Linked DNA regions of Macaca mulatta. The protein of the gene in region 1 purifies or fractionates together with the protein of each later gene. This does not show direct contact. Links are inferred from orthologs where the notes say so. Each region holds a gene or a part of one and is shown on either strand. Other genes may lie near its edges. The genes, in order: ATP1A1, RHOA and HADHB.

Region 1 (3,656 bases):
ATGATCTTGGCTCACTGCAACCTCCGCCTGCTGAGTTCAAGTGATTCTCCTGCCTCAGCCTCCCAAGTAGCTGGTATTACAGGCCTCCACCAACACACCCAGCTAATTTTTAAATTTTTAGTAGAGATGGGGTTTCACCATGTTGGCCAAGCTGGTCTCGAACTACTGACCTCAAGTGATTCGCTCGCCTCAGCCTCCCAAAGTGCTGGGATTACAGGCATGAGCCACCACACCCAGCTAAAACTTGGTTATATTTCAGCATGTCTTATAAAGGTAGGGAAAGAATACAGACAGGCCTGCCCCAAAGATTGTCATGAGCCTCAAATGAGATAAAATATATGAAAATACTCTGTAACCTGTAAAGTACTGAACACTTAATAGCTTTTACATGCTGGGGAAAATTCCTTCTTTGTTTTGTTTACAGAGTGATCTGCATAAGAATATCCCTTCTTGAGGTGATGGACACGTGCTGGTGATGTGATGAGTGACTTTTTTTTTCTTTTGTCCTAATTCTAGGGATGCCAAGGCCTGCGTAGTGCATGGCAGTGATCTAAAGGACATGACCTCCGAGCAGCTGGATGACATTTTGAAGTACCACACTGAGATAGTGTTTGCCAGGACCTCCCCTCAGCAGAAGCTCATCATTGTGGAAGGCTGCCAGAGACAGGTCAGCCAGCACAAGGATCGGGCTGCTTTGGGCACTGTTGGCTTTAGGGATTGGAGTTCCAGTGGAAACACAGCAACGTTGATGGATGCAAACCTCGCTGTATTAGACTCTGTATAAAACAGGCCAGAAGGAAGCTCCCAGGCATAGAGAGGGTGACTTGTTAATGGTTTAGCAGTGACAGAAGCACTTTAAAGTCCAGGTGTCCCACTGTGTCCCAGAGCTTGACCCCTCCGTGGAGTCATCTGATATGGGGTCCTAGTGTTTGCAGTAGACATGTGAGTGGTCAGGAGACTACTGGGCATGCATACAGGAATGGGATTTTCTGGAGTGCCACCCACCAGAGTCATTACTTTGAGTAGCCCTTGTTAATGCCGGGGGCTATGTTTGTTGTCACTTGTCAGTTCTGTTATTTGGTGTAGGGCCTGTGTGAATACTTCCCTATGATGGTTCTCAGGCTTCATAAATAGTCTCAGTAGGAAAGGAGTAGTGTCTGTAATGAGTGCTCAGAGGGGGCATGCGTCGCACTATTTCCATCACTAGAAACAGTGATTGGTATTAACCCATTTTCCCTTTTCTGGGGTAGGGTGCTATTGTGGCTGTGACTGGTGATGGTGTGAATGACTCTCCAGCTTTGAAGAAAGCAGACATTGGGGTTGCTATGGGGATTGCTGGCTCAGATGTGTCCAAGCAAGCTGCTGACATGATACTTTTGGATGACAACTTTGCCTCAATTGTGACTGGAGTAGAGGAAGGTGAGAGCTGTTTAAGGTGTACACCAAGATCTTATTCAGATACTGCCCATTAGCATCCATTTCTGTATATTTCTTGGATATGTTCAGTTTCCAATGTGCTTCTCTCATAAGCTAACAGTAAAAAATCTTGCTTCTTCATAGGTCGTCTGATCTTTGATAACTTGAAGAAATCCATTGCTTATACCTTAACCAGTAACATTCCCGAGATCACCCCCTTCCTGATATTTATTATTGCAAACATTCCACTACCACTGGGGACTGTCACCATCCTCTGCATTGACTTGGGTACTGACATGGTGAGTGTCGCAACAGCCACAGATCAATAGTAGTGAGGTGTGAACTGTGTCTTCATTCACTGGCACTGTGCTCCCGGCATCCATGAGGCTGGTGTTGGGAAAAGAAATTCTCAGGACCAATATCCAGTGTGTGTCCCAATCCCCACATCACAGAATCAGTATTACCGCTCTTCAAGGCAACAGTTAACATCAGATGGGAATCTTTATTTTTGTGTACTTCACCTAAAAGATTTTTAAATGGGAGGGCAAGAATTTTATAACAAAAGGTTCACCATATTAGCTTCCTTATTTTTAGTAATTAAATTCCTTGTCCCCACCCCTTCCCAGGTTCCTGCCATCTCCCTGGCTTATGAGCAGGCTGAGAGTGACATCATGAAGAGACAGCCCAGAAATCCCAAAACAGACAAACTTGTGAATGAGAGGCTGATCAGCATGGCCTATGGGCAGATTGGTAAGCTGCAGCCTGGAGTGGGAAGCTGGCACATCTAAGGCATCTGAGGTGATGGCGTCCTCTTCAGGTTGTGATTTATTTCAGAGACTGCAAATCCAGGGTGACTTTCAGGTCTAGGATGAGCCCTAACAGGGTGAGCCTGTGGAGTTTCTGTAAACTGTCTTCCATGTGAGAATACATCTGTTGCTGTTTGCCCAGTTACCTTTTGTGGAAACTGGTTTTCTCTAGTGAGCACCTTGGAACTGGTCTCAACTCTGCCTGAGAAAAGAGGATGTCCTTCCTCACTGAGCCTTGTGGAACATGAGGCATGGTTCTGAGGAATTGTGTGTGCTGACACACAGGCTGCTTTCCCTGGAGATACACACTTATCTGTCACTCACTTAGATGGAGAGTTAGGCATTGGAGAAAGTATATGTGTTTGAGGGTTTGGCTAGTAGGTCACCACCAAAGGGTGATCCTCCATCCACCTTATGCTGGACTTCCGCCCCCACAATGGAGCATGACTAGCTAACAGGTGGTCTAGGTGGTGGGCAATCAGCATGCCATTTGTTTTTAAATCCTCTGCCTAGGGTTCTTTCAAGAGAACCTGGTGAAGCCACCATGAATGTCTTACTCTCCTGGATTAATGGGTCACATAACTGTGAACACTTGGATAAAGTAGAACAGATTAGAACATTGTGGAAATTATGGCAAAGATTCATTAGACAGTTTTTGGCAACAAAGTGATTGGCTGGTGGCCCATCCTGACCTTCTCCAAGGAGGCCTACTTTTGAGAGGAAGGAAGACTAGGTCTCTGGTGGTATAGGATGAAACCTTGCCCTGAGGAACTTGGAGCAGTGTGGTTAAATTGGATGCCAGGGGAAGAGGGTCCTGAAGGTGTAAAGGAGAGTCAGAAGGTGCCACAGTGGCTAGAAAAATGGCAGCATGTGGGAATTTTGAAAGATGGAAAAGAAGTTATCATTTGTCAGAGATTAAAAAGTAGGGAAGTGGATTTCCCCTAAGGGTCATGCCCTTAGAAGCAGCCGGTCAAGTAACAGAGGTGGGCATTTTGAGAGCAAGGCACATGTGTCTCTGTGTCAGCTCCAAAAAGTGACTCAAAAAGCAGAGGGCCCTGAGATTGGAGTGTACCTCTGGGGTCCTCCATCCCATCCCTCATAGCCTGTGAGTGACCAGGCAGTTCTTCCCTGTGCTTTTATCAACCAGTGGGAAACACTCCTCCATATGTGCTCTCCCAGGCCCGCTGCAGTAATCAGCTAAAGGCTATACAGGTACCGTTGCATGTGAGGTTCTAGTAATTGGGATGTTTTTCCAACTTAGGTATGATCCAGGCCCTGGGCGGCTTCTTTACTTACTTTGTGATTCTGGCTGAGAACGGCTTCCTCCCACTTCACCTGTTGGGCCTCCGAGTGGACTGGGATGACCGCTGGATCAACGATGTAGAAGACAGCTACGGGCAGCAGTGGGTGAGTGGGCGCCTCTGACCTGACCAA
Region 2 (2,460 bases), on another chromosome or scaffold:
TGGGAGGCTGAGGCGGGCGGATCACAAGGTCAGGAGGTCGAGACCATCCTGGCGAACACGGTGAAACCCCGTTTCTACTAAAAATACAAAAAATTAGCTGGGTGTGGTGGCGGGCGCCTGTAGTCCCAGCTACTCAGGAGGCTGAGGCAGGAGAATGGCGTGAACCCGGGAGGCAGAGGTTGCAGTGAGCCGAGATTGCGCCACTGTACTCCAGCCTGGGCGACAGAGCCAGACTTTGTCTCAAAAAAAAAAAAAAAGTCTTTTTTTAAGACTGGGCACAGTGGCTCATGCCTGTAATTCCAGCTCTTTGGGAGGCCGGGGTGGGCAGATCACGTGGTCAGGAGTTCGAGACCAGTCTGGCCAAACTGGTGAAACCCCCATCTCTACTAAAAAATTAGCTGGGTGTGGTGGTGGGCACCTGTAGTCCCAGCCACTCAGGAGGCTGAGGCAGGAGAATCGCTTGAACCCAGGAGATGGAGGTTGCAGTGAGCTGAGATCATACCATTGCAGCCCAGCCTGGGCGACTGACAAGAGTAAAACTGTTGCAAAACAAGAAAAAAAAAGTCTTTAAGCTGAATTTGAATACTCTTTACTTACTATATGTATGCCACACTATTAGCTAAAAGGACTGTTTTTTCTTTTTGCTAGGAGCCGGTGAAACCTGAAGAAGGCAGAGATATGGCAAACAGGATTGGTGCTTTTGGGTACATGGAGTGTTCAGCAAAGACCAAAGATGGAGTGAGAGAGGTTTTTGAAATGGCTACGAGAGCTGCTCTGCAAGCTAGACGTGGGAAGAAAAAATCTGGGTGCCTTGTCTTGTGAAACCTTGCTGCAAGCACAGCCCTTATGCGGTTAATTTTGAAGTGCTGTTTATTAATCTTAGTGTATGATTACTGGCCTTTTTCATTTATCTATAATTTACCTAAGATTACAAATCAGAAGTCATCTTGCTACCAGTATTTAGAAGCCAACTATGATTATTAATGATGTCCAACCCGTCTGGCCCACCAGGGTCCTTTTGACACTGCTCTAACAGCCCTCCTCTGCACTCCCACCTGACACACCAGGCGCTAATTCAAGGAATTTCTTAACTTCTTGCTTCTTTCTAGAAAGAGAAACAGTTGGTAACTTTTGTGAATTAGGCTGTAACTACTTTATAACTAACATGTCCTGCCTATTATCTGTCAGCTGCAAGGTACTCTGGTGAGTCACCACTTCAGGGCTTTACTCATTAACAGATTTTGTTGGCATAGCTCTGGGGTGGGCAGTTTTTTGAAAATGGGCTCAACCAGAAAAGCCCAAGTTCATGCAGCTGTGGCAGAGTTACAGTTCTGTGGTTTCATGTTAGTTACCTTATAGTTACTGTGTAATTAGTGCCACTTAATGTATGTTACCAAAAATAAATATATCTACCCCAGACTAGATGTAGTATTTTTTGTATAATTGGATTTCCTAATACTGATATTTGTCATCCCCAAAGAAAGTGTATTGGTTTTTTAAAAAAGAAAGTGTATTTGGAAATAAAGTCAGATGGAAAATTCATTTTTTAAATTCCCGTTTTGTCACTTTTTCTGATAAAAGATGGCCATATTACCCCTTTTCGGCCCCATGTATCTCAGTACCCCTATCTGGAGCTGGGCTAAGTAAATAGGAATTGGTTTCACGCCTGAGGCAATTAGACACTTTGGAAGGTGGCATAACCTGTCTCACCTGGACTTCAGCATCTGGCTCTAATTCACAGTGCTCTTCTCCTCACTGTATCCAGGTTCCCTCCCAGAGGAGCCACCAGTTCTCATAGGTGGCACTCAGTCTCTCTTCTCTCCAGCTGACTAAACTTTTTTTCTGTACCAGTTAATTTTTCCAACTACTAATAGAATAAAGGCAGTTTTCTAAACTTCGTGTATCCTGTTGTTTGTGTTGCTCTCTCCAGGGCTGGGGGCAGGAGGATGCAAGGACTTCCTGGCCTAGCTCACCCTGGAGAGGTTTGTTCAGGGTGCAAAAGACTAGGTTGTGCCCCACCTCCCACCTACCCAGCAGCTAATCTGGTCCCTCCCAACAACATGGAAATGATTACCCTGTACCGCATTCTAGTTCAGATTTGGGGGGAGGGTGAATGCAGCCTACTGAGGAGGCCAGAGAGGGAGGACTCAGGCCGCGTTTCCTTGGCCCTGACGAGCTCTTGGGCTCCACTTCAGGAAGCTGGGGCAGAGCTTCCAGGACTCTGCCCTGTTAGAAAACCCGCGCAAGGGCGGTGCCGCTTTGGAGACAGGGAGGAGGGAGACCGGAAGCCCATATCCCTCTGGCTGTCCCCTGCACTGCCGGTAACATGGCACAGGAGAGGAGGGCTGTTTGCGCACCGGCAGCTGCTGCCGCCGCCCACCAGCCTTCTATGCCGAACCCCACATCCTAATTGAGGAGCCTTTGAGAAAGAAAACGGAGCCCTCGAGGGCCCCAGCCCTC
Region 3 (3,656 bases), on another chromosome or scaffold:
GGGTAGAGGGCATGTCTGTACAGTTTCATTATTTTATCTTTAACATTTAATTAATCAGTACAGAAAAACCAAAGAATGAGTGAAAAGACAGAGTACCTATGTTAAACTCAGTTTGGGGAATACGAAGAAGCTCTTAGTTTAAAAATTAAAGTTTTAAGATATTACTTATTTTTTCTTTTCAGGCCAACATATGCTACTCCAAAAGTTCTAGAAAAGGCAGGATTAACCATGAATGATATTGATGCTTTTGAATTTCATGAAGCTTTCTCGGTAAGTCATTTGAAAGACACATATGAAGGGACTATAGTCATAAAAAATGTCGTCCATATTTGTGGGAGAGAGCAAGGCATGGTTTATGATGTGAGTAGAGCAGGAGTGGACCTATATATTTTAAGTACTGACTCACACTGCTGGGAGGTGCCTGAGGGGAGGGAAGGAATGGCCATACAGTGTTGGAGAACATACCAAATTGTTTCTTTAGGAAATTCTCATTGAAAACTGATACAAAGATTTGTTCAACTTTACTTTTTTTTTTTTGAGACAGAGTCTTGCTCTCTTGCCCCCTCTGGAGTGCAGTGGCGTGATCTCAGCTCACTGCAACCTCCGCCTTCTGGGTTCAAGCAATTTTCTTGTCTCAGCCTCTCGAGTAGCTGGGATTGCAGGTGCCTGCTACCATGCCTGACTCATTTTTTAAATATTTTTAATAGAGATGGGGTTTCACCATATTGGTCAGGCTGGTCTTGAACTCCTGACCTCAGATGATCCACCCACCTCAGCCTCTCAAAGTGCTGGGATTACAGATGTGAGCCACTGCGCCCGTCCAATTTGCTCAACTTTAAAGCATACCTACAAGTTGTTAAACTTTCACAAACCGTGCCCATAAGAAAGCGTAGAGGAACATGAATAACAAGGTTCTTATTCAATTATTTTCTCCTCCAGGGTCAGATTTTGGCAAATTTTAAAGCCATGGATTCTGATTGGTTTGCAGAAAACTACATGGGTAGAAAAACCAAGGTGAGTTTCTGATTTTAAAAAATGCTTGAATTTTCAAACGCGTTAATAATTGGATCTTAGTTACCTGTTCTTAAGAATATGAAGGAAAAGCTTCTCTTTCTTTTGAAGAATTTTGTCTTTCATTAAAGATATTTATTTCTTAGTGTAAAGATAGAAATTCTTGTTTCATTAAATATATTTATTTCTTAGTTTAAAAACAGAAATTAGCAAAATTAAAATTCTGTGTTATCTTTTGTTCCTTGCATTCTGGCATTAGATGAAAAATAAATGGACTCCTGACTTTTAATATTGACCTAGACTTACTTTCTTTTGCAGTAAAATTATTTGTAATATGTCTGACGTTCGGTATTTTCCTTTATCCCTCTTACTTCATAGTACTAAGAGCCTGGCTTGATTCTGATCTTAAGTAAACTTATCTTTACATTTGTGTCTTTGTGGGAGCCAGGTTGGATTGCCTCCTTTGGAGAAGTTTAATAACTGGGGTGGATCTCTGTCTCTGGGACACCCATTTGGAGCCACTGGCTGCAGGTTGGTCATGGCAGCTGCCAACAGATTACGGAAAGAAGGAGGCCAGTATGGCTTAGTGGCTGCCTGCGCAGCTGGAGGGCAGGTACGTTACAGTGGTGTCATAGGACCTTCCAGAGAGTCATTTTCTTGGAATGACTAGAATGTATGATTTAGTTTGAAACCTTCTTAAAGCAATATTTTTGATGACACGGGGGTGGGGAGTGGGGAGGGATAACAGCTTTAATTCTGATAATACTTTTTGTTTTTTGGGTTTTTTTTTTTGAGACAGAGTCTTGCTCTGTTGCCCAGGTTAGAATGCAGTGGTCATATCTTAGCTCACTGCAACCGCCACTTCCTGGATTCAGGTGATTCTCGTTCCTCAGCCTCCCGAGTAGTTTAGATTACAGGCGTGCACCACCGTGTGCAGTTAATTTTTGTATTTTTAGTAGAGACAAGGTTTCGCCATGTTAGCCAGGCTGGTCTCGAATTCCAGACTTCAAGTGATCCACCCACCTTGACCTCCCAAAGTGCTGTGATTATAGGCATGAGCCACCATGCCCTGCCATAATTCTGGTAATTCTTTGGAAGGAAACTGCTATTTAAACCCAAGCTATTTTTCCCGAATATAATGTTTATTTTTTACTTATAAATATATGCTGATTATGAAAATTGTGGAATATATGAAAAGTATATGGAAAAAGTTAGAGTCATCTATAATCTCCCCATCAGACATTATCATTATTAACATCTTGATATATTTTCTTCTTTAATAATAAACTTTTATTTATCTAGTCACCGTTAAGACTTTATGAAATCTCTCCAAGAGAGAAACTGTCTTTCTAGAGAACTGAATTATACCTTAACTGGGGAGTTAATTTACTTCTGGATAACTTACTCCTGTTCAGCTGGGGAAGTATATTGTTGACAGATTTTTTTCCTTTCTACTTCGCTTGCATTACAGACCCAACTTCCTGACTGCTGTAGCATCTCACTCTAGGAATAAAATCCAAAAGGAAGATCGTAGTTTGTTTTTTGTTTGTTTGTTTTTTGAGACAGAGTCTTGCTCTGTCCCCCAGGCTGGAGTGCAGTAGCCCCATCTCGGCTCACTGCAACCTCTGCCTCCCAGGTTCAAGCAATTCTCCTGTCTCAGCCTCCTGAGTATCTGGGATTACAGGTGCTCACCACCAAGCCCAGGTAATTTTTTTGTATTTTTAGTAGAGATGGGGTTTCACCGTATTGGCCAGACTGGTCTCGAACTCCTGATCTCAGGTGATCCGCCTGCTTCAGCCTCCCAAAATGCTGGGATTACAGGCATGAGTCACTGCGCCTGCCCTGTTTTTTTTTTTTTTTTTTTTTTTAATTACAATGTGAACAGATTTTCTCTTCCTCTAGATTACAGAAACTTCCTGTTCCTGATCAAAATGAATAAATATGTAAAAGCATAAACAGGCCGGGCGCAGTGGCTCACACCTGTAATCCCAACAGTTTGGGAGGTTGAGGCGGGTGGATCACTTGAGGTCAGGAGTTCAAGAACAGCCTGGCCAACGTGGTGAAACCTTGCCTCTACTAAAATTACAAAAATTAGCCTAGCATGGTGGTATGCGCCTATAATTCCAGCTACTCGGGAGGCTGAGGCAGGGGAATCACTTGAACCCCGGAGGTGTAGGTTGCAATGAGCCGAGATAGCGCCACTGCACTCCAGCCTGGGTGATAGAGAGGGACTCTGTCTCAAAAATAAATAAAATAAATCTTACATTTAAAAGCCCATTTTCATGAATTTTCATCAGAGACTTTGCAGAAACCAAGGGGTCAGTTATTTATCAGTTGGAACATTTTGGACTTTATGATCAGAAATGTTTTTTAATCTGTGTAACTTCATCTACAGAAAACCATGGTCCATTAAGACTTCAGCTATCCCTCTATCTCTCCATGCCAGACTTCTACCAGGGAGATAACTTGTACACATTACTCACGAGCTTAGTGCGTAATCCACATAGGGTAATGTCTGCAGATTTGAGTATGTGTTCCATAATTCTTTATCTAGCATGTAGAGTATAAATGAGACAATACTGGATGCTTTTATGGATGAACAAAGAATGATACCTAGCACCTTCTAGAAGTTTATAGTATAGTGA

Evidence for each region.
Region 2: the proteins of ATP1A1 (region 1) and RHOA purify together in Homo sapiens (affinity purification with mass spectrometry; 3 studies listed by BioGRID and IntAct, with this or other methods). This does not show direct contact. The link is inferred for Macaca mulatta from reciprocal best matches to the Homo sapiens genes ATP1A1 and RHOA.
Region 3: the proteins of ATP1A1 (region 1) and HADHB fractionate together in Homo sapiens (co-fractionation; 3 studies listed by BioGRID, with this or other methods). This does not show direct contact. The link is inferred for Macaca mulatta from reciprocal best matches to the Homo sapiens genes ATP1A1 and HADHB.

What each region holds. Positions count from the first base shown.
Region 1 is NC_133406.1:123,882,187-123,885,842, reverse strand, and holds part of ATP1A1 (sodium/potassium-transporting ATPase subunit alpha-1), read left to right. Parts: intron 1-516; coding exon 517-667; intron 668-1,250; coding exon 1,251-1,419; intron 1,420-1,560; coding exon 1,561-1,715; intron 1,716-2,042; coding exon 2,043-2,166; intron 2,167-3,483; coding exon 3,484-3,629; intron 3,630-3,656. UniProt on the Homo sapiens protein: This is the catalytic component of the active enzyme, which catalyzes the hydrolysis of ATP coupled with the exchange of sodium and potassium ions across the plasma membrane.
Region 2 is NC_133407.1:112,801,234-112,803,693, reverse strand, and holds the end of RHOA (transforming protein RhoA), read left to right. Parts: intron 1-438; exon of another isoform or gene 439-648; coding exon 649-822; 3' UTR 823-1,894; downstream 1,895-2,460. UniProt on the Homo sapiens protein: Small GTPase which cycles between an active GTP-bound and an inactive GDP-bound state.
Region 3 is NC_133418.1:98,714,255-98,717,910, reverse strand, and holds part of HADHB (trifunctional enzyme subunit beta, mitochondrial), read left to right. Parts: intron 1-182; coding exon 183-331; intron 332-911; coding exon 912-1,014; intron 1,015-1,459; coding exon 1,460-1,598; coding exon of another isoform or gene 1,599-1,624; intron 1,625-3,656. UniProt on the Homo sapiens protein: Mitochondrial trifunctional enzyme catalyzes the last three of the four reactions of the mitochondrial beta-oxidation pathway.